Linked DNA regions of Drosophila melanogaster. Changing the gene in region 1 together with any one later gene gives a genetic interaction. Each region holds a gene or a part of one and is shown on either strand. Other genes may lie near its edges.

The links.
Region 2: of mael (region 1) and Klc, changing one enhances a phenotype caused by changing the other (phenotypic enhancement), as found in Drosophila melanogaster (one study listed by BioGRID).
Region 3: of mael (region 1) and loqs, changing one suppresses a phenotype caused by changing the other (phenotypic suppression), as found in Drosophila melanogaster (one study listed by BioGRID).
Region 4: of mael (region 1) and Dcr-1, changing one suppresses a phenotype caused by changing the other (phenotypic suppression), as found in Drosophila melanogaster (one study listed by BioGRID).

What each region holds. Positions count from the first base shown.
Region 1 is NT_037436.4:22,722,485-22,726,748, reverse strand, and holds mael (maelstrom), read right to left. Parts: upstream 2,517-4,264; 5' UTR 2,184-2,516; coding exon 2,064-2,183; intron 2,019-2,063; coding exon 1,820-2,018; intron 1,764-1,819; coding exon 1,207-1,763; intron 1,145-1,206; coding exon 632-1,144; 3' UTR 515-631; downstream 1-514. Other genes in the region: CG14450 (uncharacterized protein), read left to right, coding at 1-205. UniProt on the Drosophila melanogaster protein: Involved both in the piRNA and miRNA metabolic processes. As a component of the meiotic nuage, plays a central role during oogenesis by repressing transposable elements and preventing their mobilization, which is essential for the germline integrity.
Region 2 is NT_037436.4:12,746,108-12,751,882, forward strand, and holds Klc (kinesin light chain), read right to left. Parts: upstream 3,950-5,775; 5' UTR 3,856-3,949; intron 3,733-3,855; exon of another isoform or gene 3,603-3,732; intron 2,792-3,602; exon of another isoform or gene 2,700-2,791; intron 2,576-2,699; 5' UTR 2,551-2,575; coding exon 1,949-2,550; intron 1,835-1,948; coding exon 1,714-1,834; intron 1,648-1,713; coding exon 1,168-1,647; intron 1,097-1,167; coding exon 791-1,096; intron 724-790; coding exon 706-723; 3' UTR 509-705; downstream 1-508. Other genes in the region: CG32109 (uncharacterized protein), read left to right, coding at 1-129, 190-371; CG10984 (uncharacterized protein), read left to right, coding at 4,500-4,632, 4,695-4,748, 5,200-5,775. UniProt on the Drosophila melanogaster protein: Kinesin is a microtubule-associated force-producing protein that may play a role in organelle transport. The light chain may function in coupling of cargo to the heavy chain or in the modulation of its ATPase activity.
Region 3 is NT_033779.5:13,380,992-13,386,172, reverse strand, and holds loqs (loquacious), read right to left. Parts: upstream 3,522-5,181; 5' UTR 3,386-3,521; intron 3,278-3,385; 5' UTR 3,234-3,277; coding exon 2,509-3,233; intron 2,437-2,508; coding exon 2,151-2,436; coding exon of another isoform or gene 2,082-2,150; exon of another isoform or gene 2,008-2,081; intron 1,647-2,007; coding exon of another isoform or gene 1,517-1,646; coding exon 1,379-1,516; intron 1,352-1,378; exon of another isoform or gene 1,190-1,351; coding exon 941-1,189; 3' UTR 502-940; downstream 1-501. Other genes in the region: Ing5 (inhibitor of growth family member 5), read left to right, coding at 1-74, 137-238; beta'COP (coat protein (coatomer) beta'), read right to left, coding at 3,992-5,178.
Region 4 is NT_033777.3:22,735,058-22,742,742, forward strand, and holds the start of Dcr-1 (Dicer-1), read right to left. Parts: upstream 6,035-7,685; 5' UTR 5,974-6,034; coding exon 3,340-5,973; intron 3,288-3,339; coding exon 1,679-3,287; intron 1,622-1,678; coding exon 1-1,621. Other genes in the region: CG6985 (uncharacterized protein), read left to right, coding at 6,260-7,039, 7,098-7,685. UniProt on the Drosophila melanogaster protein: Endoribonuclease which functions in microRNA- (miRNA) gene silencing and, independently of its ribonuclease III activity, also acts in the short interfering RNA- (siRNA) gene silencing pathway.

The DNA.
Region 1 (4,264 bases):
CCCGTTGAAGCTGCACAAACAGATCGACTTTCCCGCTGACCTACGCCTCGAATTCTCACAACAAGAGCGCTACCAGCGCGAGCTTCTAGGCCAGGCACTTCTCCTCAGCTTAGCCTTTACTCGTCTCGTGCTTCAGCAAGATCCGCAAAGCATTGCATCTGTATCTCGCAACTCTAAAAACTCCTCTCCAAGTCGAGCCACTTAAAAAGCTACAAGTGTAAGAATATGAACTCGACTCTTTTTGGCCTTTGCACTTTGTATTATAATGACCCGTTGAACAATTTTATGCACAATATTTAACAGGGGTTTTAATAGGAGCAGTTTCTAATGGCACAACTGCATTTCCATGGAATACCATAAACATAGATTATTTTGAGCTTGGCCCCACTTAGCTAATTAGAATTTGTCGCCATCAAAAATATCATGTCTTTCTTTCATTACTGCCCACATATTAGGTCTTAAAAATATTTATTTAGCAGAACTAAAATAAATAAATACTTGATGCTGGCCCTGTCCGTTTGAACGAATTTATTTTTAAATACAAGTAATAGTATTTGTACAGTTTAATGCGATAAGAAAATTATCTATAAGGAATCATTGTTTCTTAGTCCAATTGATAGACCAAAGTGGCTTATTTTTTAAGTTTCCCATCAGCGCCGTTTACGGAGAAGTCGTTGTCTGAAACCTTCCGAATTAAACGCGAGTGCGTCGGTAAGTTCCTAGCGTTCCATTCCCGCTGAGCACTAGCGGCGATACCGTGATGCTTACTAGAATTACGCATGCCGAGGCTGGGGAATTCAGAAACTTCGTTTAAATTTGCGGCAAAGGAAGTGTGGTCTATGGGCTTGTAGGAGCTTGATGCGACGGAAAGTCGACTGCTAGAAAGCGAACAAGCTTCGGGTTGGCTTTCCTTCTTGACCCCAGATCCGGGAAGCGAATAAAAAGAGTCGAAGGAGGACTCGTGGTCGAGTGAGGAGGCGTACGAGCTTATGATAAGGTAGTTGGGTTTTGTTTGGGCAGGTATGTGCTTTCCGGGTTGGACGGTTATGGCCAGGTCTCCGCACATAAAATCAGTGAAGGTATACGCCCATCTAGTCACCATACTCTGGGTACAGTACTTGGTTCGATCATTATCCTCGTGGTACTGCAAAAGTAATCAGGAAGGAAGTCAACTAGGGGTTATCAGAATTGGGAACAGAATCTTACCTGACACGCAATCCCTGCGGTAAACTCGAAAAAGTCTTTCTTAAAAAAAGCATCCGTCGCGAATTTGTTGATTTTCTCGTCATTCAAATCAGCGACATTCATGACCTCCTTCTTCAATATGAATAGCAAGTACTGGATATCAAACACCTGGATTTTTTCGCCCCCGTCCCTGAAGTCATCATCGCACTCCAAATAGCGGAAGCATGACTTCACCATGGTAATATTTTCGGCGGGTGTAAAGACTACTAGGGTCTTGCCTTTTCCCTGGCATTTGGATAAGTAGTCAACAATGTTGCGGTACAGCTTGGTCATGTTCTTCTCCCCCAGCGCGTTGGGCGGCAGCGGCAGGTCGTGAGTGGTTGAAGAGTGAAGCAGGGCATCGCTACCTTGCCCAAAAATGATCTGACCGGGGTCAATCATGGTGCTGTAGATGGATCGGATTCCCTCCTTCAACGAATATTCGCATGCCGCAAACTCGGCGGGCACATAGACGTCGGTGGTCAAGGCTTTAGTGAAGTAGTTGAAGGCAACGAAGACAAACTTGGCATTCTCCAGATCTGCGGCAGCGATTGGAGTTAGTCGAATCCAAATGTCTTCGAAATGTGTGACTTACCATGGGACATCTTGGCGTTTAGCACGAGGCGCTCGATGGTACGTTTCATGTCCATCAAGCTCTCGGTGGCCTCCCTTTGGGCCTTGTCCACCTGGCCGTGGCCGTTGGAACTTTCCCTTTTGGCGCGTTGCGCCACATTTGCGTCCTTGCCGCCTGAGTTGTACGGACCACGCTGCTGGGTGTTCATTTTCTGAAAAGGCTTCATTTATTACAGGGTAGATCCGCAGCATCGACCAAAACTTACCTCCCATATGGTGCCGCAGTGGGAAACAGCCTGCGCCAGCGTCATGCGTCGGCCCTCGGCGTTCCGGTTTCTCCACTCGTTTACGAACATCATAAACCCACTATGCTTCTTAGGAGCCATCTTTACGGGCGTGGCAAGAAGAAGGTCGGTATTTTTGACGGGTAAGGGTAGGTGTTGAGCGCGTGTGCGAGCGAGGTAGCGACTAAAGGCGGTAACCAATGAACAGCACGAGCAATTTATATGAATGTTGTTTGTATGTACGTCTGACCCTACAGAAATGGTTACTTCGGAATGTCGCGGGTGGCTTCTCTTCTGGCTTCTCTCACGCACGATTGACTTCTCTTCCAATGATCTGGTCTGTGGAATATATCACACAATTCTAATGAAGTGAAGCAGTTGTTTTGTCAGACGTCGATTCCGCTGACACTTCAAATATCTATTATTGACTGTTTTGGCGTTGCTGAGCACTAGTATCATTCCAGAACTATCGATTCTGGAATGGAATAAGAGTTTGTAAATTTATAATTAATTTATATTTATAATATAATAATTTATATTTCATAAAAATGGTTTAATCAAACCTAATAGCATAATCATCTATCGTCATGCTTTGTAATCGTATGAATAAACTGCACTTGCAGTTAAAAGCAGCCTAATTAAAGATAATACTGCTTATTTATAAATCAAATGGTCGACCATCGAAAACTAAAAATTTTTTAAATCGAAATTCTCTTTCGTAAAACTACAGTGTAAACAGTTGAGTCGAAAAATTGTACATATGTATGTATATCCACCCACAAAGTCGATGTGCTTTAGGTCTATGAAAAATTCTTTCTTGGAAATGGTTTGTTTAATGGTAAAGTAATAATATTGTTTGTATGTATGAACGATTTGTCTGAATCGGTAAATTCATGCTGAATATGAAAATGGTTTGGTCATCACACCGTTTTTGGTTAAAATGTTGTTGTTAAAATGATAAGCATAATCATTTAGAAAGAACTTATTATACCCGTTAACCGTAGAGTAAAAGGGTATACTAGATTCGTTGAAATGTACATATGTAAAAGACAGAAGGAAGCGTTTCCGATATACAGTAAAATATATACATATATATAGTAAAATTAGTTGTTATATTTTTTATTTGAGTCGAATAAATGCCCCGTCAGTTGACTAAGGACAACGCTAAGAAATAAAAAATGATCGGAGAAATAGTTTTAACGTTTTAGTTTTTTTAAGAGTAAAAATCAAATGCAAATTGAATTGAGAGAACCCTCATTATTTGAACAATATTTGTATCTCGGGAGAGCCTCGCTCTTGGGTTCTTAAGATAAGGAGAAGGTTCAAAGAGAGCAGTCAAATCGGCTTATGTCAGGTTTTAGGATGTTTACAAGAACGGCTGAGTGCCGCTGCCAAAGAATTCTTTATTAGAAACGGATGCTGCGCAGCTGGGATACATTATGGAAAATCAATTAAGTGCAATACTGTTTTAATTGAAGTGGCCGGTTTGGACCACCCGAATACGTCACTATATGTATATATTCATGATCAGCATCAATAGCCGAGTCGATCTGGCTGTGTCCTTCTGTCCGTATGAACGCCGAGATCTCAGGAACTATTAAAGGTAGAAGGTTAAGATTAAGCATACAGATTTTAGAGACAAAGATGCAGCGCAAGTTTGTTAACCCATTTTGCCAAGCCCACTCTAGCGCTCACAAGCCGCATAAAACTGTCACGATCGCACTTTTAATAAATGTGTTGATATATCATCACATTTTTAATAGTCTAGAATTCGTCCAGTAAAAGTTATACTAGATTCTTTCAAAAGGTACAAGCAATTAAGATTAAGATCTCTTGGGCCGCCTGTCTCTCAGTAAGAAATGTCTAGAATTCAGGAAGTAGAAGGTGGATATAAAGTATTCTGCTCTTAATTTTTGTTTAGGAGCAAGAGGGCGGAGAACTCTACAGCCATCAGCTGTTTTTACGCATCCAGTGACAACCGACAAGTGCATCTGTGCACATTTTACAATAGAAAGGTCGCATATTTTTATTTATTTTATAAATATTAACTTTTAACTATGTATGTTTGTATTATTTTTACAAAATATATTTTTAAATATGTATTTTCTCATTTTGTTAAATTTATGTTTTAAATTACAAAACTAATAATTATAGTTCTAGATAGCAACTTTATTTATAAGTTG
Region 2 (5,775 bases), about 10 Mb from region 1:
ATTTCCTTTTTGACATCATAACATTGAGAAGCAATGTTGAGAGTGACCCAGATGAAGCTGAAAAGGACTACGAGGAAGTTGTGGAGGGTTTGAAAAACGTAGTTTGGTCCAATGTCAAGTTTGGTTCTGGTTAGTGCCCAGGATTTGAGTTGAGAAACCAATAATCCATTTCGTCCTATTGATTTGCAGATCACAAGGAGGAAATCAGTGCCGACGAGCTGGATAGTCAGCTGAAGGACTTTGAAAACTTACTCCTCACGGCGCAAAATCTACGTAACGATACGAGTCTCACTCGGGAACAATTTCTGGATCGGGCTGAGCAGTTTGCAGGCATAGTTTCCTCGATTTTAAATGACAATGATAGCGACTAACTGATACTCAGTTATCGTAGGCAAACTAATCGTACTGTTTGTTATCAATAATAAATGTTAAGCTGATTCCACTGTAATGTGCTATATCTGGTCCGTATTTTTGGTTTAGTTTTGAAGGTTTAAATACAAACAGGATTATGTTAAATATATTTGGTTTATTATTAAAAGCGGTACATATTTTTTGAAATAACAAGGTATAAAACGTTGTTTATTTGCTAATGTATGCTTGAGAGCTTATGTATATTAAGGAATGAATAAATAAAGTGTGTGTTTGCTGTTAGCTTTCAATCATAAACTTAAAGATTCCGTTGTGGGCGATGAACAAATAATATTTTTATGGTTTCGCATTCTTCTGCAAGAATAAATGGGAATGATTAATTTAAGTTAATTAAGTTAAGTGATTCGATTTTGAAACTCACCTCCTCAGAGAAATCCAAATCCTCTTTAATTGCCTTCGATCGTCGCTTTTCGTTTGACGTTAGCAATTGTGAGAGCTTCGTTTGTTTAGCTAGATCGTAGGCTTCTTTTTTACTCCGCATTGCACAGTCTTCCAGGGTTTCGGCCGCTTCAAACATGCCTTGACGTCGGTAAAGTGCTCCCAGATTTTTTAGAGTGGTTGTGACCGTGGGCGAATCCACTTTAGCGGCCTTATGCCAACCGCCGTACTCGCCATATGGAGTGTTCTCCCTGTTATCGAATTTGTGCTCCTCACGCTCCTCAGCCACCTGAAAATTGTAGTAAGAAAAGGAACTTTTGAGTATTTACCAGGCATAACAGCACAACAACACAACATTACCTGCCAAATGGGCTTGTTTTTGCTGTCGATGGCTCCAAACTCACGTTCGTGGGCTCGCGTCAAGACCTGCTTATAGAGGATTTCAGCTTCGGTGTATCTACCTTGCTTCAGATAGCAGCCGGCCAGATTATTCTTTGTCTTGGCCACGTTGGGATCATCGGGACCCAACTTTGATTCGTAGATGTCGAGAGCTCGCTGGTAGTACTTCTCAACCTCGTCGTATTTGCCCTGATTCTGGCAGAGCAGGGCGAGATTGTTAAGTTGCTTGGCAACATCGGGATGATCCTTTCCCAGGACTTTCTCTCGGATCTCCAAGGCACGCTTGCACAGTGGCTCGGCATCTTTGTACTTGCCACGTTTGCCATAGAGGACGGCCAAGTTGTTCAACGTGGCCGCCACGGCTGGATGGTTCTCGCCCAGTGTCTTTCCTCGAATCGACAGAGCGTCGTTGAGTAAATTGGCGGCCTCCTTATACTTGTTCTGTATGGCACGAGATGTTGTTAATTAACGATTGTATAAATTAAGTTAATCAAAGCGTAGACGCACCTGATCGCGGTACACGAGAGCCAAAATGTTCAGCATGGTTGCTACATCGGGATGGTCGTGACCACTTGTCCTTTCGAGATCTTCCAATGCTTGCTTGCAGAGGGGAACGGCTACCTCGTATCTAGAAATATATTAGGCTATTATAGTTAATGATGAATTGATAGATAACGATGTTGTAGGTAAGGGGTTTCTTTAGTGCTCACGAGTAAAATAAAATGCATGGATGATGACTTACCTTCCCTGCGATGCATACTGAATGACCAGGTTGTGCAGAGTACGGAGACGCGCTGGAATCTCGTAGCCGGAAGTCTGGTTGGCGAACTGGCTGGGCGGAGTGGGCGACATGTTGTGTCTGTCCTCGTTTTCCTCGTCCGGGAATAGCTCGACCACGGGATCGGTGCGGGACTTGTCGCAAGCGTCGTCCTGCTCCTGATTCTCGTCGTACTTCTTCACGGACGCCATGAACTCCAGGTGCTTCTTCTCCTCCTCTAGTTGGGCCACCAGCTGCTCGGATGCCTGGAACTTTTGCTGAGTGTTGGCCAGCTCGTCGCGAAGCCAGGCGTTCTCCTGGTGGAGGCGGCGCACCTGTGTCTTAAGCTTGTGCTTCTCGGCCTCGATGTTCTGCAGATGGGATGTCAGGGCCATCATCACCTGGGCCTCGCTGAGGCCCAGTTCGATGTTCTCGATGTTCTTTCGCAGCATGTCCGACTTTTCATTGTCCTTCTGCACCTCGGCGATTCCGTTCATAATCGAAACATGCTCCACTCGCAAGGCTTCGAGGCCTTGAAGGACTGTTTTCGTATTGGTTATGATTTCGTCCTGCGACATTTGCGTCATTTTGCCGATTTTCTCAATTTTCTGTCTACAAAACACATACAAAATACAGATTAGTAAGTGCTCCTACAACCCTCTGACATCTGAAAGTGTAACAACATGAATGATATCAAAATTAAAAGGTGTTAATCGAGGTATTTGATGTGTTTTACATCCTGTATGATTTGATAGCTTTGGAGACAATCATTTTAACCGTATATTAAACGATTCTAGCTGCGTTAATCAATACGATGAAAAAGAAAATTCGCAGTGCGCATGCACGTTAAAAAAGGTGGTTGATAATCGAAAATGCCCGCGCTATTACATTCGCTGTAACAATAACTTTTAGAAACTACAGAAACTATTAAAAGTAAGGGATCAACTTTCTGGATTAAGTTAACTTCAATTTACTTTTAAGCCAAACAAATTCCAGTTCATTCAATTATGTTTTCTAATTGGAAACTAATGGTGGAAGCATATTCGATTTATATCGAATACTGTGCTTTGAAAACTTTCTTTTATTTATTATTTATCAACATTGCCGGTGTGATTTACATAAACATGACACTTCGTTAAAAAGTGTTTAAGGCCATTTAGTTCGTTTATTATGGTTATAATTATGGGCGAAAGTTAATTACACTTGGCGTCATGCAATAAACAAAAAACGAATGGCAAAAGTAGCTGCTTACATCAACTAAAATAAATTGTATAGTTTTTTAGAGACCGAAGCTATTAGTACCCTAACATATTCAAAATTATAGTTTTCTTTAGTCATTTGCCTTTCGAATCGGAAATCTAGATTGCGTAAAATGAGATTGTAAGTTGATTTTCGAGAAAATAGCTTTATTCTTAATCAAGATCGCCAAATATTGTGATTGGAATAGTCAGATTATAAATATTGCAAATGGGGTTACAACACCCCAGCTCACTAATTCCAGTGTATTAAAAAGTGAGTCACTTTTTGTACATAATATCTATGAACACTTAAACATAAAAGTTAGTGGCATTAAGAGATTGTATTTAGTATTTATCATGCTAAACGATTACTTAGGCCTTAGGCCTCCATTTGTGTTTACTTTGCCACACGAGCTGCCGCCGAGCACTTTTCCAACTAGACTTGATTATTTATGTAAAACGAATCATATTTTCCAGTAAAAAACTTTTCTTCAAGTGGCAGTCACTTATATTTATGTGCAACATATGTACATACACAGATAAGCTCAAGTAGATGTGTTTGTGTGTGGGTGAATGGATTTTGTCGTTCGAAATCCAGTTGGAAATGATTATGCAAGTTATCGCGCAGTGCATTCAAATATTGTAACTTATTACCAGCGGTTTTGCTCTGCAAACTCCTCAAATAAGCGAAATAGTGCGTAGATTTGCTATAAAAATATCTTACACTGCAAAACTTCTAAAATAAAACTGAGTGTGACCGTAGCCGGGGCGTTGAATTGTGTTTGACAAGCTAGGATTTTCTTCAACTGTGCAGTAGTGGTCACACTGTCGGGAGGAGAACGCAGTGGAATCGAAACACTAACTAAAGAAATGAAAATTCCTGAAAAAATCGGGTAGACTAACAATAAGACTTCGTATAATAGCTAAGATGTAGTATAAATAAAGTAGTAGTTAAAAGTAATAATGCGCAACATGCTATTTGTAAGCATCTATAACATGTTGGAGGTCAACAAACGCACATACCTTGGTGGAGCAGGTATTGATTTAGTTCAATAAAAAATTTAATTTTTGGAACTAATTAAAGGTGTATCTTGAAATTTGTACACATAATATATAAATTAATTTGTTGTTAACTTAATGGATTTGAAAACATCGTTATTATATTAGCAAGCTGGCATATTTTTGTATTCACGATACGGTCGCACTATTCTTTTTGTAATAAATTTTGCAAGACTTTTTCAAGTCTCCGTTTTTGTTCTATATTTTAATTTTTACCGTCTAAAACTGAACAAAAGAGTATGCCACCCCCAAGACCGAAGGGGATAGGATTTAATACAGGAGCTACCCAACCCAGATCGAACTCAAACACGCCAATGTCGGAGAGGCAGCAAATGGCTCTGCTCATCCAAATGACAGCCAACTCGTCGACAGGTAAATAAGCAAAATAATTAAGTGAATGTCTACTTTTCACATGATTCAAGTGGATTTTATAGTTCAGTCACAAAGCTTAGAACTTTTGCTCGTCGGCTTGAATTTCAATTTACATCGTGGGTACTTCGCTGCGTACATACTTACACGCATATACATCTATGCATGTACATATCTACGTATGTACATACATAAATGTATCTGAGAGTCAGGAATAATGTAAAAGTATCCGAGAAACTGGTTTCGATTGCGGATAAATTGTCATTTAACTGATTCAAATGAAGATACCAATTATTATTGAAGAAATATGTGTAAAGATGTCAAAAAAACCCTGTCTCTTATCCGAGCTAATACTTTAGAAACCAAAATTAAAAACAACTCATTTAACGATGCTTAAGTTCTTAGTTTTCACACAAAATCATTTTAGTTGGTTTTCCTTCAAACATAACTACAAATTCCACCCGAAAAGATATCCGATAGACAATAAGCTTTCATTTTACTTCCTACATGATCTTCCAAACTAAATCACACAGCCGTCAAATGTAATGTATAAGATTCTCGTTCTTGCAGATTCATCCCGCACCACCTTAAAGAAGAATGAATGCAAGAAAGGAGACGCAGAGACTGACGAGGGCAGCCTGAATGAGAAGCAAGAGGTCCTGGACACGAAAGACAAATCTTCAGCGGAGGAGAGCAGCAACGATGGTAAATCCAGCGATACGAATCATCAGGGAACTTCGGCTGCCAAGCGCTGCTACTCAGACATAGAGGAGGACTACGAGGAATCTGGCGAGGACGTAAAGAAAAAGAAGCGCAAGGATTCGGAGCATGGAAAGGACGTGAAGGGGGCCTCCCTGAAGCTCACATCGCGCGTGGAGAAAAGCTCCAAGCTAGCTGCAACGAAGGGATCCCCGTCAGGAAACAAAAGCAGCGCTTCCAATGCCGAAAAGGAGCCGGCGGAGACTAGTAAGAATGTAGATATTGAGAACGAAACGGAGTGCAGCGATGATTACAAGAGTAACGACAGCCTATACAACGGAGGACTCAAAGTGCCGCCATTAAAAATTGTGATTCCGCAGCAGAACTGCTCAATCGACACTGAGGGCAATGTGCTTCGAACTGGCAAGGTGACTGCCTCTCGCAATG
Region 3 (5,181 bases), on another chromosome or scaffold:
ATCCCAATGAGCCCACATATTGCCTATGCCACCAGGTGTCCTATGGAGAGATGATTGGCTGCGACAATCCCGACGTGAGTATTCGATTTTGATGTACTCTGTGGTCAGTTCTAGATCTTTCACTCTACCATTTTAGTGTCCCATCGAGTGGTTTCACTTCGCTTGTGTTGGCCTCACCACAAAGCCAAAGGGCAAGTGGTTCTGTCCCAAGTGTACGCAGGACAGAAAGAAGAAATAGATGCAATCCTTTATGATTACTTAGAATACTACTTTAGATTAAGCACAAAATTACCTATTTAAATAAAGCCACGGCTACTATAACTTCAGTATTATATTTGTCAATTTATTTCCTAACTAATTTGTAGTTAAATAATTCCATATCATAAAAGATGTTTTCACAGAATATTTCTAAAGTTGGATTGATTAATTTCAATTCATCAATGCCCTTTAATTCGGAGTTTACAAAGTTTTTCAGCCCAAGGAAAAGAAAACTGCAAAAGTAGCGATTACCAAATACCGATTATATTCATAAGCCTTTTTCCTTCGCAAACTAGCACGTAGTCTACCTTAAACCTAGTTTTATCTGCCGTTTTACGTTTTTCAGAATTTGAAAGCGACTAGAAGATTCCAATATCGATTACACGCTTGTCTGTATTTGCAAGCGTACATACATTCATCGGTAAGTGTAGTACATATATGAACATTTACATATGCAGTTAACAAATACAACTGCCTAATCAAAGGAATCGGTGGAAAAGAAACAAAATATATATATATATATATGTAACATCGCCACTGCATTGAGCCAAAAAGTGGAAAGAAAAGCAATTAGACTGGTGCATTAGTTATCCCGTATCCACTCGGTAATCGCTCTCATCAAATACTCGTGATCGTGGTCGTGGTGTGCGTTCAGATTTTGCTATTCAGTTGGCTGCACCCCCTACTTCTTGGTCATGATCTTCAAGTACTCGAGGGCATTCTGGGCGGCATGCCGCTGGGCATCGGCAGCTGTTGGTCCGCTGCCGTGGCAAACGCCAACGGGCAGCGTGGACAGTTGAACCAGGCACTGGAACTGGCCAGAGAAGGTCTTCTCCTCTATGTCCACATAGGTCACCTCGAACTGGTTCTCCGTGGCGATTTCGCCCAGCAGCTTGATGTAATCAATCTTGTTGTTCTTCAAGCAAGTCTTCTGAAAAAAATACAAATGGAGTCGAATTAGCAGAGTCAAATTAAACTTTGAACTTTCAAGCAAGAACACTATTATTATAAGGATTGTGAGGGGTTAAGGCAAATATGTACTTTCGAAAGCAGGTTTTGAATGTTGGAAATATGTTTGTGATCGTTTTTGAATAAAAAGCGTTATTGGATTGAAATTTACCTGTAACTTAAGCAGTTTTTTGCCCGTTGCATTTTTTAGGGTCTTATGGAACTGGGATACTTTGTTACTGTGCTGCGTGGTCAGTGTCGGCACAGAGATATCTTTCAATTCACCATAATAATTTTCACTACTGCGGGGCTGTAAATAAGAGCGCAAAGTTTTTGGTTTCTTTTCTCCATTGCATTTCGCACACATTTGAAATCACACACGCCAATGGTGAGTTGAAACATATCACTTTTGTGTGGAAAAGGTGCTTTACAGATTCGTTCTTTAAAACAATCACCATGCCAAGGAACAATATGAAAAATGAAAAATGAAATAAGCCAATATAAACCATAAATAAAACCAGAAATATAAATAAGGTGTAAGCATTATGTTAATTATATGTATAATTATGTCAAAAACATTAGTTATAAAAACAAGGACAATAAAAAATATCAGATAGCACACTATAAAAGGGATGCTATAGTACTAAAACTCTAGCTAGATACATAATTTAAAAGATTATAGGGATATTTACAACTGAGGATTACTCTAAACGTTCTACATTACATTTGAGAAGGGATAGAGGACAAACGTATTAAATAATATATAACATTTATGACATATATTTGATAAAATCAATTTTTAAAATTTTATAAACTAAAGCATGGGACTGCATTCAAAATAATTGCACTAAAAATATTAGAAAATTGCTTGTGGGTTAGATCTTGATGAACTCAAAATCTTTAGAGACTTGCTCGTAACGATCGATGTCTTGAATGATACTCACTTCGCCCTCCAACTCGCCGCAGATGCTGTCGCTGATTTTGCCCGAATCGATGGGAGTCTCCTGCAGACGCATCCACATGCGGTGGGCGGCCAAGCGCTTGGCTATCTTCTTGCTTTTGCCCTTGCCCATCTCGCGGTAGTTGAGTATCGAGCAGGCGATCGTAAAGAGCCGCTCGTGGGGAAGACCCACTTCCGTTTCCGTTTCGTACGACGGCGGTGGCCATCGCCGTTGCATGCACATTTCCTGCAACCAGCCAATCGGATTACCAACGGTCTTGTCGCTGGCACTGCAAGGACATAATACAATAAATTGGATATCTTAGAATCATATCTTAGACATCAATAGAATAAAAACTCACTCTCCTCCGCCTGTGGCATTGGCATTGCCGTCTCCTCCGCTTCCGGCGACCGTGAGCCCAGTCACCGACGGACCAGCGGAGCTGCTAGGCGATTCCGGCAGCTGCGCGCCGATCAGCTTGTCGATGAGCGCACGGGCCGCCGCATGCTTGGCCTCCTTCTTCGATCGTCCTGCCCCCATGGCCGTGAAGGGCGTATCCTTGTCTTTAAAGGACACGCGAAACCGGAAGGTCGGCTCATGTATGGCGCCCTCGATCTGGACAAGTTCATAGCCGGGAGTAATTCCTCGTCGGCTTAGCAGCTCTTGCAGAATGCTGACGGGCGTCTTCATGGCCAGTCCATTGGCGTCCGTTTCGCTGACGAACTTTAAGGCCTCGTCGCTGGGCAATATTACGCCCATAAGGCCGACTCCACCTTGTAAGCCCGATCCGCCCGCCAAGGCAGGATCACCAACATCTGACAGCTGCAGCTGACCTGGCTGAGACAGCTGCGCAACCTGGGCGGATATCTTCTCCTTCTTGAGCTTCACATGGCGCTGCCCCAGCGGAGCACCCTTCACCGGACTACCACTGACGGCATTTCCATTGCCCAGGCCGACAAGGTTATTATAGTGCCGCCGTGGAGCAAATCCCGTCTGGACAGGATTGGGGGACGCCTGCTGCGGCTGGATGTGGAGGTTCTGTAGCTGCTGCGGCAAGCTGGAGCCGTGGAAATTCTCCTGGTCCATGGTGTTCTTGTTTTGCACGGTTTTCGGGAGGATTCGGTGTGTATCTGTTTAAAATTTCGGGGTAATTGTTGTTTGAAAAATCGATACATCACCGACGAATAGCGGGCGAAAAGTCCAGTTGACACTCTCGCCGAAATTCGGGGAGTACTCACGTTTGAATCGCGGTTTTAACTGTTTTTTATTTAATAATAATTTATTAATGGTTAGTTAATAATTCATTCTTAAATAAAAAATACAGCAAAATCCAGACGCACACACGAATTGTATGTATTTTACTGATATTTGTGGTTGCCAGACTTTTTTTGGATTGCCTACTTATTACACCCCCTACTCGTAGAGTAAATATGTTGAAATAAATGTATGTAACAGGTACAGAACATTTTTTTGTACAAATATATAATAAAATAGACCATGAATACTAATTTAACTCAAAAAAAAAAAAGAACAAAAATAATTTTTAATTTCTCCTGGCATGATCGTAAGTTTGTTTAAAAGTTTTATCGATAAGATATCAGAATGTAATCGAAATAGTTGAAGTGAGCGCCATATTTGAAATTGTTGTATAAGTATTTATTGCAGTGTTTGCTCCATTACTGTTGTACATATTATTAATAGATATATATTTAAACAACATTCAATCAAATCAAATGTGAATGCATGCGCGGAATTCTGTGGCTCGAAATGCACGAAATGTGGGACTCCCGTAGCAGTAAACGATAGTTTAAATGGTATTCTAGATCTGGCTGTGATCTTCCGTCCTAATCGTCGCTTAGAAAATCGTCATCGAGGTTCACATCTGTCGTATCAATGTTATCATCCAACGTAATTCCATCTATTTCCAAGTCCAGGTCGTCGTCGTCATCCGCAGCGGATGTAGGCTCGGCCACCTGGCTGCTAGAAACAACAGCTTGAGCGGGAACGTAAGCTGGCTTCACCTTCTCCTCCAAATGCTGGCCGGCGGCACCCTGCTCGGCGGCAAATAGTTCTTGCAGAGGATGACGTTCGCTATTCAGTGGTAGATTCGCAGCGAGGCGTGCCGGCGCCTTACGAGCTCGCTCCTCCTGCAAATGCTGCTCCACCCGCAGCGCATCGCCCAGGCCAGGGAAGAGATTTGTATACTGTGCCGGATCGGCCAGCGACTGTCCCGCCTTTTCGTTGACCTTTCCAAGCTTCTCCCGCCAAAGCTCTACGATCCTTGACATCTGGCTGGGCAGGTAGGTGCGGGCAAAGAACGCTGCCTCTGGCAACCGATTTGTCTCAATGAGAATCTCCAAGCAGCGTTCCACGTCTGAACGAAGGAACGCCGAGAGGAAAGCTAGATTGTGATGTCCCTGGGCCGAGCCAGCCGCACCCACCACCTCGAGCAGCTGGGCATCGCCGGAAGCTGTTGAGAGCAGCAATAGACCGCTTAAGTCGTTTGCCTTCTGCATGCACTCTTTAACCAGAGACATGTTGTTCTTGCTAGACGCCACATCTGCCAGCTGTGACCACTTCTGGGAGTTCTCCGACTCACGGGCCAGCTTTAAGGCGATTTCCAAATCTCCGATCTGTAAGGCCAAGTCAAACTTATGGTCGGCATCGGTAGAGACTTGCAGGGCCTGCGACTTAAAGCCCTGTTTCTCCAGAAAATGTGCCACCCTAGTGCGGTGCTCCTTGGGAATGGTCGGTAGCACAACGTCTGCGCGCTCAAAGTCTCTTCGCATAACCGCCGTCTGGTACTCCAGCACGGACAGCTGCAGACAGAAACTGATCACGTTCAACTCCTTATCGCCGAGGTAAATACGATTGTCCTTGGGCACGTAGCCCAGCAGATACATTGTGCGGTCTAAGTGGGATACTGTCACAATCTCGCCGCCCACGTAGTAGTTGATGCGGTTCACCGAGTTGGTATAGATGAAGCAGTCTCCCACCCAAAGTCCTGTTTTGACGCACTCCGAAACCTCGCCTG
Region 4 (7,685 bases), on another chromosome or scaffold:
TTTGTGCTACCGGGTATTCGTTGCTCCTGGTTACCCCCGTCCAACTGCCTTGTGATAGGGAGCACTCTCACGCCCAGCCAGGCCATAAAGAGTAAAGCCCCTCGGGGTCCGCACTCAATGAGATAGGCTCCAATGAGGGCTTCGACGCAATCGGCAATAGACTTATCCGGAATGCTGTGTTGCGAAACAAGGTTGTAGGGAATAAAACAGCTAAAATCATTGCAGCTATCATTGGAGTCGTCAAGTTGTCCATTTTGGGCACCCCCATTCTGCTCCAAGCCCAGGGCATCGGCTTTTTCGCGAACCATCTCGCAGATTTGCACACTGCTTAGGTTCTTAATGTCTAGCAGATCGGCCAGCTTCCAATGGTGAGTGGGGATCTTCGCCTCGATGAGCGCCTTCTCTAGCTCCTTTGGCACGTAGTAGCAGGGTGGCAGCCAATTGTCGTGCGGCTCGAATTTAGTGGCTATCATATATTCACCCAGTCTCTTACGTCTGCCCAGACGATAGAGATTGAGATTGGCAACCTGCTTGGAGCGCAGGTGACTTAGTTTTCCCTCGTGCACATTCTCGTAGGTGATGTACAAGTAGGTGGTAATGGCATACTTTAGAAAGGAATCTCCAATTGTCTCCAGTCGCTCCAGATTGATGCCATCGTTAGCATTGGACATTGTGAGGGCTTGCAAAATGATGCTGGGACTGGGTCCTGGATGGCCCACTAGATCCGGTTGTCGATCGAAACTGAAGCCAGCTGGTAATATGGCTGAGGTTATGGCCTTCGTGGAAGTAGGTGGCTCAATTTCAATTCGTTCGTATTGCAGTTTCAGTTGCTTTTCATCCAAGTTCAGCCGATGATGATCGTTATAGTTGTCAAAACTATCTCCGCATCCCATTACATTGTAGGTCTCCTGCTCATGTCGCGCTACCCAATCTGCATTTAGCTCTACCAAATCCGACAGCAGAAGCTCGCGCCTATCACCCAGCTTTTTGGCCAGCACATCTTCATTTACATACGGCAGCAGCTGCTTCAATAGCTCCATCATCGATACCTTTGCAACCTGAGCCTCAGCGGCATCACTTCTTTTTAGAACCAACTGCTGGTCGTGCGGCACCAACATGCCGCCGGATTCTATTTCCGTTTTGAGCTTAGCTATGGATTCTTCATATCTTATAGTGGCAGGTTCCTTCTGGTCCTCATGCTTAAAATTGAATCCAATGAGCAGGTTCTTTGTCTGCTGATACTGCCGCTCGTTAGCATTGGTCGCCTGGATGATGGACAGCTGCTTCTGGCGCTTTTCCACTTCCTGTGCGGTTTCAATAGTCTCCGCTTCATTCTTGGAGGTGAACGCAATGCGTCCCGCATCGATATCATCTGCCACATCGTCGTCATCCGAACTGTAGTTGTGATGCATGTAATTGAGCGGACCTGCGTTATCGTCGTCATCGTAGCTGGAACCCAGCGAATTGTCCGAGTCATAATAGTTAAATGTGGGCTTTGCCGGACCCTTTGCTTTGCCCTTGCCACCCTGCTTATTCTGACTGCTCTTTGGACCCTTGAAGCCGCTTTCGCCATTGCTCACATCCCAAAATGTGGGCGAACCGTAGCGCGTTTGCTGATCACCTGTAAGATGTATTAGGGATTATTTCTGATCCTTAGCAAGGGATTTAAATAACTTACAGAACTTAACGTTTGCCGGTAAAACTGGGAGATGGAAGGCGTCATCCTCGTCGTCGTCTTCTTGGTTAAAACTAGCTATATCGTCGGCCATATCGTTTGACCAAGTGCCTATCTCAATGAAGTCATCAGCCTCTTGCAGCTTCTCCTCTCCCTCAATGATTAGTTCAATAGCACTTTTCTCAACCTTATCGTCTTTTGAATCCTTATCTAGTTGGGTCTCCTCGCTAGTCGGTTTCTTTTCAACATCAGCTAAGTCTTTGCCATTAATAGTATCATCCTTAAGGGACTCCTTTTGTTTGGACTCCCGCGATTTCTTGAGCACCTCCGATAGACTCCACCCAAAGTCCAGCATGGGCCACTCGAAATCCTCATCTTCGATCTGTTGCCTTCCCAGCCCCAGATCCGCAGAAACCTGTTTCCGAATATCGTCGGCCAATAGAAGACCATTTATGCGGTACAGGATGCAGGGCAGGCACACGGCAGTTCGCCACAAGGAGGCGGGGAATGGATGCACAGTGCAGAGCTCTGGCACAAGGATCTGCTTCTGTTCGAGATTCTCGCGCTTTGCCCGCTTTGTCTCCTCCGAACTAGTGGGCAGAGCAACGCCCTTGCGATTAACGTATCGTGGCGTGAGGAAGTTTAACCGCGCACTGGTGTGATCCACGTCCAATAGCGGCTGCGAGGTATTCTGTATGGTCAGACCATACTTGACGAGGTAGTAGTGCTTGAACGTGCGGTAGTTGTCACCAGGGAAGCAGCTGAGTGGGGATAGATGTGGACATATCTCCGCCACATAGAAATACTGCGGTTGATCCTGGTTGCGATACCACGGCATAACGACGGCATCCTGGAAGCGTTGCGGATCAAACGGCTGCGCCTGGCGCTCCTCATCGGGCACTGCCCGTGGCATTGTATTTCCATTCGCTTGGATCAGCTCCAGAAACTGCCAGTCGATGTGCTTGCCGCCAGCTGGTGCCTTCACGGTGGGCACAATGAATACACAATTTTCCGTGGAGTCCGGATCGAAGAGCATCAGAAACTTTTGCAAACGCAGTACATTGGTGAACGTGTAGTTTAAAAATCCGTTGATGCAGACTATTTGTTCGCTAGTTAGAATCACGCGTTCCTTAGCTAACTCCAGGGAAACCTTCACCTCACCGGAACGCGTGAATATCGAGAAAGCACTCAGCTTGGGTATCCGTTTGGTGGTTAGAATGCCGAATCCCTGCTGCGCATCTTCGGGCGGATAAATCTTGCGTCCCCGCGTGTTTTGCTCTTCGGGAATCGGACATTGGAGCGTCAGTTGGATAAAGTACAAATAGCATGGCGCTCCGGCAACGGGACGGCAATCGCAAAATTCGGATGCAATGCGTTTGTAATAGTACTGACGACGCTTCGTTGTTCCCGGACGTGGTTCATCGCTTAGCTGCACAATCTGTTCGTCCTCTGGCTCCAGTTCAAAGCACTCCCAGTCCGGCTCCAGGGCACGAAATCCCTCCTTGCCGATAGGCTGCAACTGATCGTCTAACTCACCGATCCTGTGCAGTTCCACGCAAGCCTGCAAGGCAGCCAGTCGGCGGGCCAATGTTTGAGTTGGCATCGGAAGACCCTAAAGAAGAGTATTTAACAAATCTTAAATAATTCGTATTACAAGTACTTACCACAATGTCATGCTTCAATGGCGAGTTGATGGGCAGACGGAGTGTGTACTGAAACAGGGTCACTCCAGCCCTTTCGTTTCGGGTGCAGCGCCACAACGCCGTCAACTTGGTGAACGTGTCGCTTGGCAGTCGGGCGCAGTACTTGTTGACCAAAGCTATAGCAGAACCCAGATCCACGGAGGCGCCTGTTAGCAGGTGCGGCTTGGGTCGGTATGCGGCCAGGCAGGCACTAAAACGTTCCGCCTCACTCTGCTCCTGCTCCGGCGGCTCTGTGTTGGCGCACTTGGATAGCAGCATCTGCTCGATTTCGCGATACTGTGCCATTTGATGCACCAAGTCCTTCGTGGTGCTGGCTAAACTATGAGCAGTATCGATTTCGGCTGTAGTATCACTTGTGTCTTCTGGCTCCGTTAAAGAGCTCAGCTCGCACTGGAAGCGTCTGGATTTTTGTTCTGTACTGCTCTCGCTTGGAGACGTGTTACTCATGCTGACGGCTTCGTCGCTGGAGTTGCTCGTATCCAGCTGCGCTGCGGCTGGCAATTCGTCCTGGATCTCCTGCAGCTTAATGTCGCACGCTGTCGGTGGTTGTTTACTGAACACTTCGGGGTTGAGGATCTTCACGGTTCCGCGTGCCGTGCCAAAAGTATAGGGATCCGAGCCGGACGAGTTTGGCATCGCTGAATCATCAGAGTCGCTGTCCGCCTCTGTAGTATCACCAGTCGCGCAAATATACCGATGACTCCGATCGGTCAGCTGCACTGACCCCACAGTTGGGCTTTTATAACTCGGAGCGACGAGAATGACATGATAGGCTGGAGCAGCACGGGCTCGACCTTTGCACTGAACGTAACTGCGATATGTGGTTGGCGGATCCCAGCGCACAACCAAATTGCACTTGGGCACATCGATGCCCTCTTCCAGCACCGAAGTACCGATCAGGACATTGCAGTCATGCATGCGGAAGCGCTTTAGCACCTCTTCCTGCCGCCGGTGCTCCAACTCAGCCTCTTTGGGCTCCGTGGTGGGATCTGCCACCCGGTCCGTGGTGTACTGGCAGCGTAGGAACTTGAGATCGGGATCACGTCTGCTAATCTCCGCTAGAAGCTCAAAGAGCACGCGAGCCGTGTGGTTCTGGTTGCAGTAAATCAGTGCGCAGAGCGTGTCGCTGCCATCATTGTGATCCCGGTGGTGGCGCCTGGTGTACACACGTCTACGAGTTCGTGGTTGTGCAGTGTTGGCACCAGAGCTAGGTTTCGGCTTCGCATGAGCGGGAGTAGGAGTAGGAGTCACCCGAGCGGCGCTTCTGTTCGTCTGCCTGTCCTCTGTCGTGTGCAGAATCTGCTCAAGAGTGGCCACCAGGGCTCGTGTCTCCGTCGGCGGTTGGTCCATTTGATCCACCATTCGGCACTTGCTTTCCAGCGTATGAGATAACCGATTGAAGTCCGCCTGATCCACCTGATGCCGCATTCTGCGCAGTCCGTCCGCTTGGGTGTGCACCTCTTCCGGCTTGAAGCACCTCAGTGTCTGCAACAGACGTCGCACCTTGGGGCTGGAATAGCGTTCGATGGTCTGGCGTGAATCGCTGCCACTTCCTAAATGTCGATGGAATGCGTGTTCGCAGAGGGAGTACAGTTGGATAAGGGCCGTGCTCACTAGGCAGTACAGCAAGTAGTGACGTTCGTGCGGCGTCTTCACCTTTAACTTCTCATTGCATTGGTAAAAGTGATGTGCAGCCCGCTGCGTGCACCAAGGACCCATCTCGTGCAGCACGACCAGTAGTGAGTTGATGACGTTCAGGGGGTCCACCTTGGGATCGGGTATGTCTTTCAGTTCGTCCATAAACTGGTCTGTGCCGTAGATTTCGTAGGGATCGTAGCGGTGGTCCAATAAAAAGGACTTGTGTGTGTTGAGCACATCGGCAAGCACCAGGGACAGTTCGTCCATCTCGAAGGGGGCGCACTGTACGATGTATTCGTGCGGTCGGGAACAGTAACGCAACACGGTGACAATATCACTGGCCGTCTCGATCTGGCAAAGCACACTCTGCTCCAGGGTGGCCAGCATGGCGCTCAGTTGCTGCAGCTCACATCCGGCGCTGTGCAGCGGTCCAGCGAGTCCGAGAATCCGTGGCCTGTCCGCCGGTGGCGCTGGCATAATGTGATTCTCGAACAGAGGCCTTATCCTCTGATAAACGGCGCTGTCATGACAATCTTCCAGCACGATCAGTTCGACGCTGCTCAGCAGCAGCTCGCGAGTTTCGAGCAGATAAAGAAATCCCTCTGGCCGTAGGATGGAAACGTGATAGTCCGTCCAGCAATGATCAAAGGGAATTTGCATATCCGGCTGCTCCTGCCACACCCGCAGGTCAGTCAAGTGGGTGAGCATCGTGTAGATGGAGCATGGTTCCGTGCTGGTGCCAACCTCGCAACTGAGATAGACACTGACACGACCATGTCGGCGTGCTCGACGCGACAGCTCCTGGAGCAGCTTGAGGGCTATAAACTCCTTGGAACTTCGATGGCCCAGGCAAATAATCGTGTTCCGCTCGTAGGCGGTGGCCAGTAGCTCCACCTGAAAGTCGCGCGGCGTGAACACGGTGGTGTGCAGATTGTTGTCGCACCAGTGGAACGCCATCGTGGCTGAGGGGATTCACAAAAACACCACTGCCTCTGCGAGATTTCTATCAGAAAATCATCCAGAGCCGGCTACCAGCAGAATGCCAGTGTGACCAGGGTTCGGAATACCTTTCGAGGTTCACTTCATTGGCCACACTTACAAGTGGCTTGAAAATAGATTGCGCCTTGTATATTTATATTTTGTTGATAGCAAAAGTTTTTAAATTAACTTATGTATTTACGGTGAACTATACCCGGTAATCCTCTTCTTTAGCACCATAAAGCGGCGTTCCAAAGCTCCTTCCATGCGCCGCGCTGCAAAGCGAGAGAGCGAAGCGGCGCCTCCCAAAGAGGAACCACAGTCACCCTGCTCCTGGCCCAAAAACAATCTACCCAGCGAATGGGGCACCTCAGGGGGCACCCAAAGCCTGGGACCTCGAGAATTCAGGGCGGGCGAGAATCCCCTCAAAGATAGCCGCATCTTCCATGTGCTCTGGCGTAATCAGACCACCAAAAAGCACAAAACGTGGACTGGCAACGGAACGCTGGTGGTCACGGGATCCATAGTAACATTGAAGGATGACACCGGCAAGGTTGTGGACACCATGACATACTTTAAGCAGCGGCAACTTCAGGAGAACGATCAGCTGGAAGTAGGCAGCAAGGATGTCGAGATTCAGGAGGAGATTAAAACCGTCGAGGAGTGCCTTATTCAGCGCCAGTTGGAAATAGCCAACTGGTGCCAAAAAATAGATGCCCAGAATGGTTGTACAGACACATCGCCACCACCTGCTGACAGTGCACCCGTTAGGTCTCATCTGCTCAAGAAGATCAAGCGCGAGGCAGATGCCTTTGCTCCACCGCATTTGGAAATTAGCCAACATAGAGAAGATAAACATGTCTCCTATGCAGCCGCCGATTCCAGCACTTCGATGGGAAAGAAAATCTATGAACAAAACACTTTGAAGATAGAAAACCCTACCAAGGAGTTCACCCAATCGGAATATCTGTGTCTATTAACTCCAGCTGAACTGCAGAAAAAAATATTACTCTTTGTTTCTGAATATGCACAAACATCTAAAACAGTAAGATAGATTTAGACCAATTTACATGCATAAACAAATCAAAAAACTTGTATTTCAGGAATCGTCTACGTTGAAGGAAATCTTCCAAATTGTATGTGATCATCCTGTGCTCCTAAAAACTTTGGGTACGAATCCAGTGTTTAAGGAAATAATGGAGGTACTGGACGCCATACTGCCGCCTTGGCCAAGCATGGGACTTTACGACTCCGCCAAGTTCGAGTTTCTACACGTAATGCTGGATCACTTAGTGGCGGAGCGAGGCGAGAAGTGCTGCATCTTGGCAAACAGTGAGGATTGCCTCACCCTGGTCAGGGGATACTGTCAGAGTTATAGTTTGGACCATGCGCAGCTAGATGGTCCCCAAAAAGTGAACTTATTTAATTCTCTTGCCGATGGAGAACCAATGATTGGCTTGATTTTGACCAGTGACTTGTCGGCGCTTCGAGCTCTTCGCTGCAAACACCTAATTATTTATAATCACAATTCCAGGCAGCAAGCCAACCAACTGCTGGCCGTTGGAGCAATGGATACCAAAATATATACTCTCATCACAGCCGGAGGTTCTCCGGAGGAGTTGCAGTTCTATGGGCATATGGGTGATGATTCTATAGAAGATCTTCAGAATTGCCGCAGCCAGCTTATACCG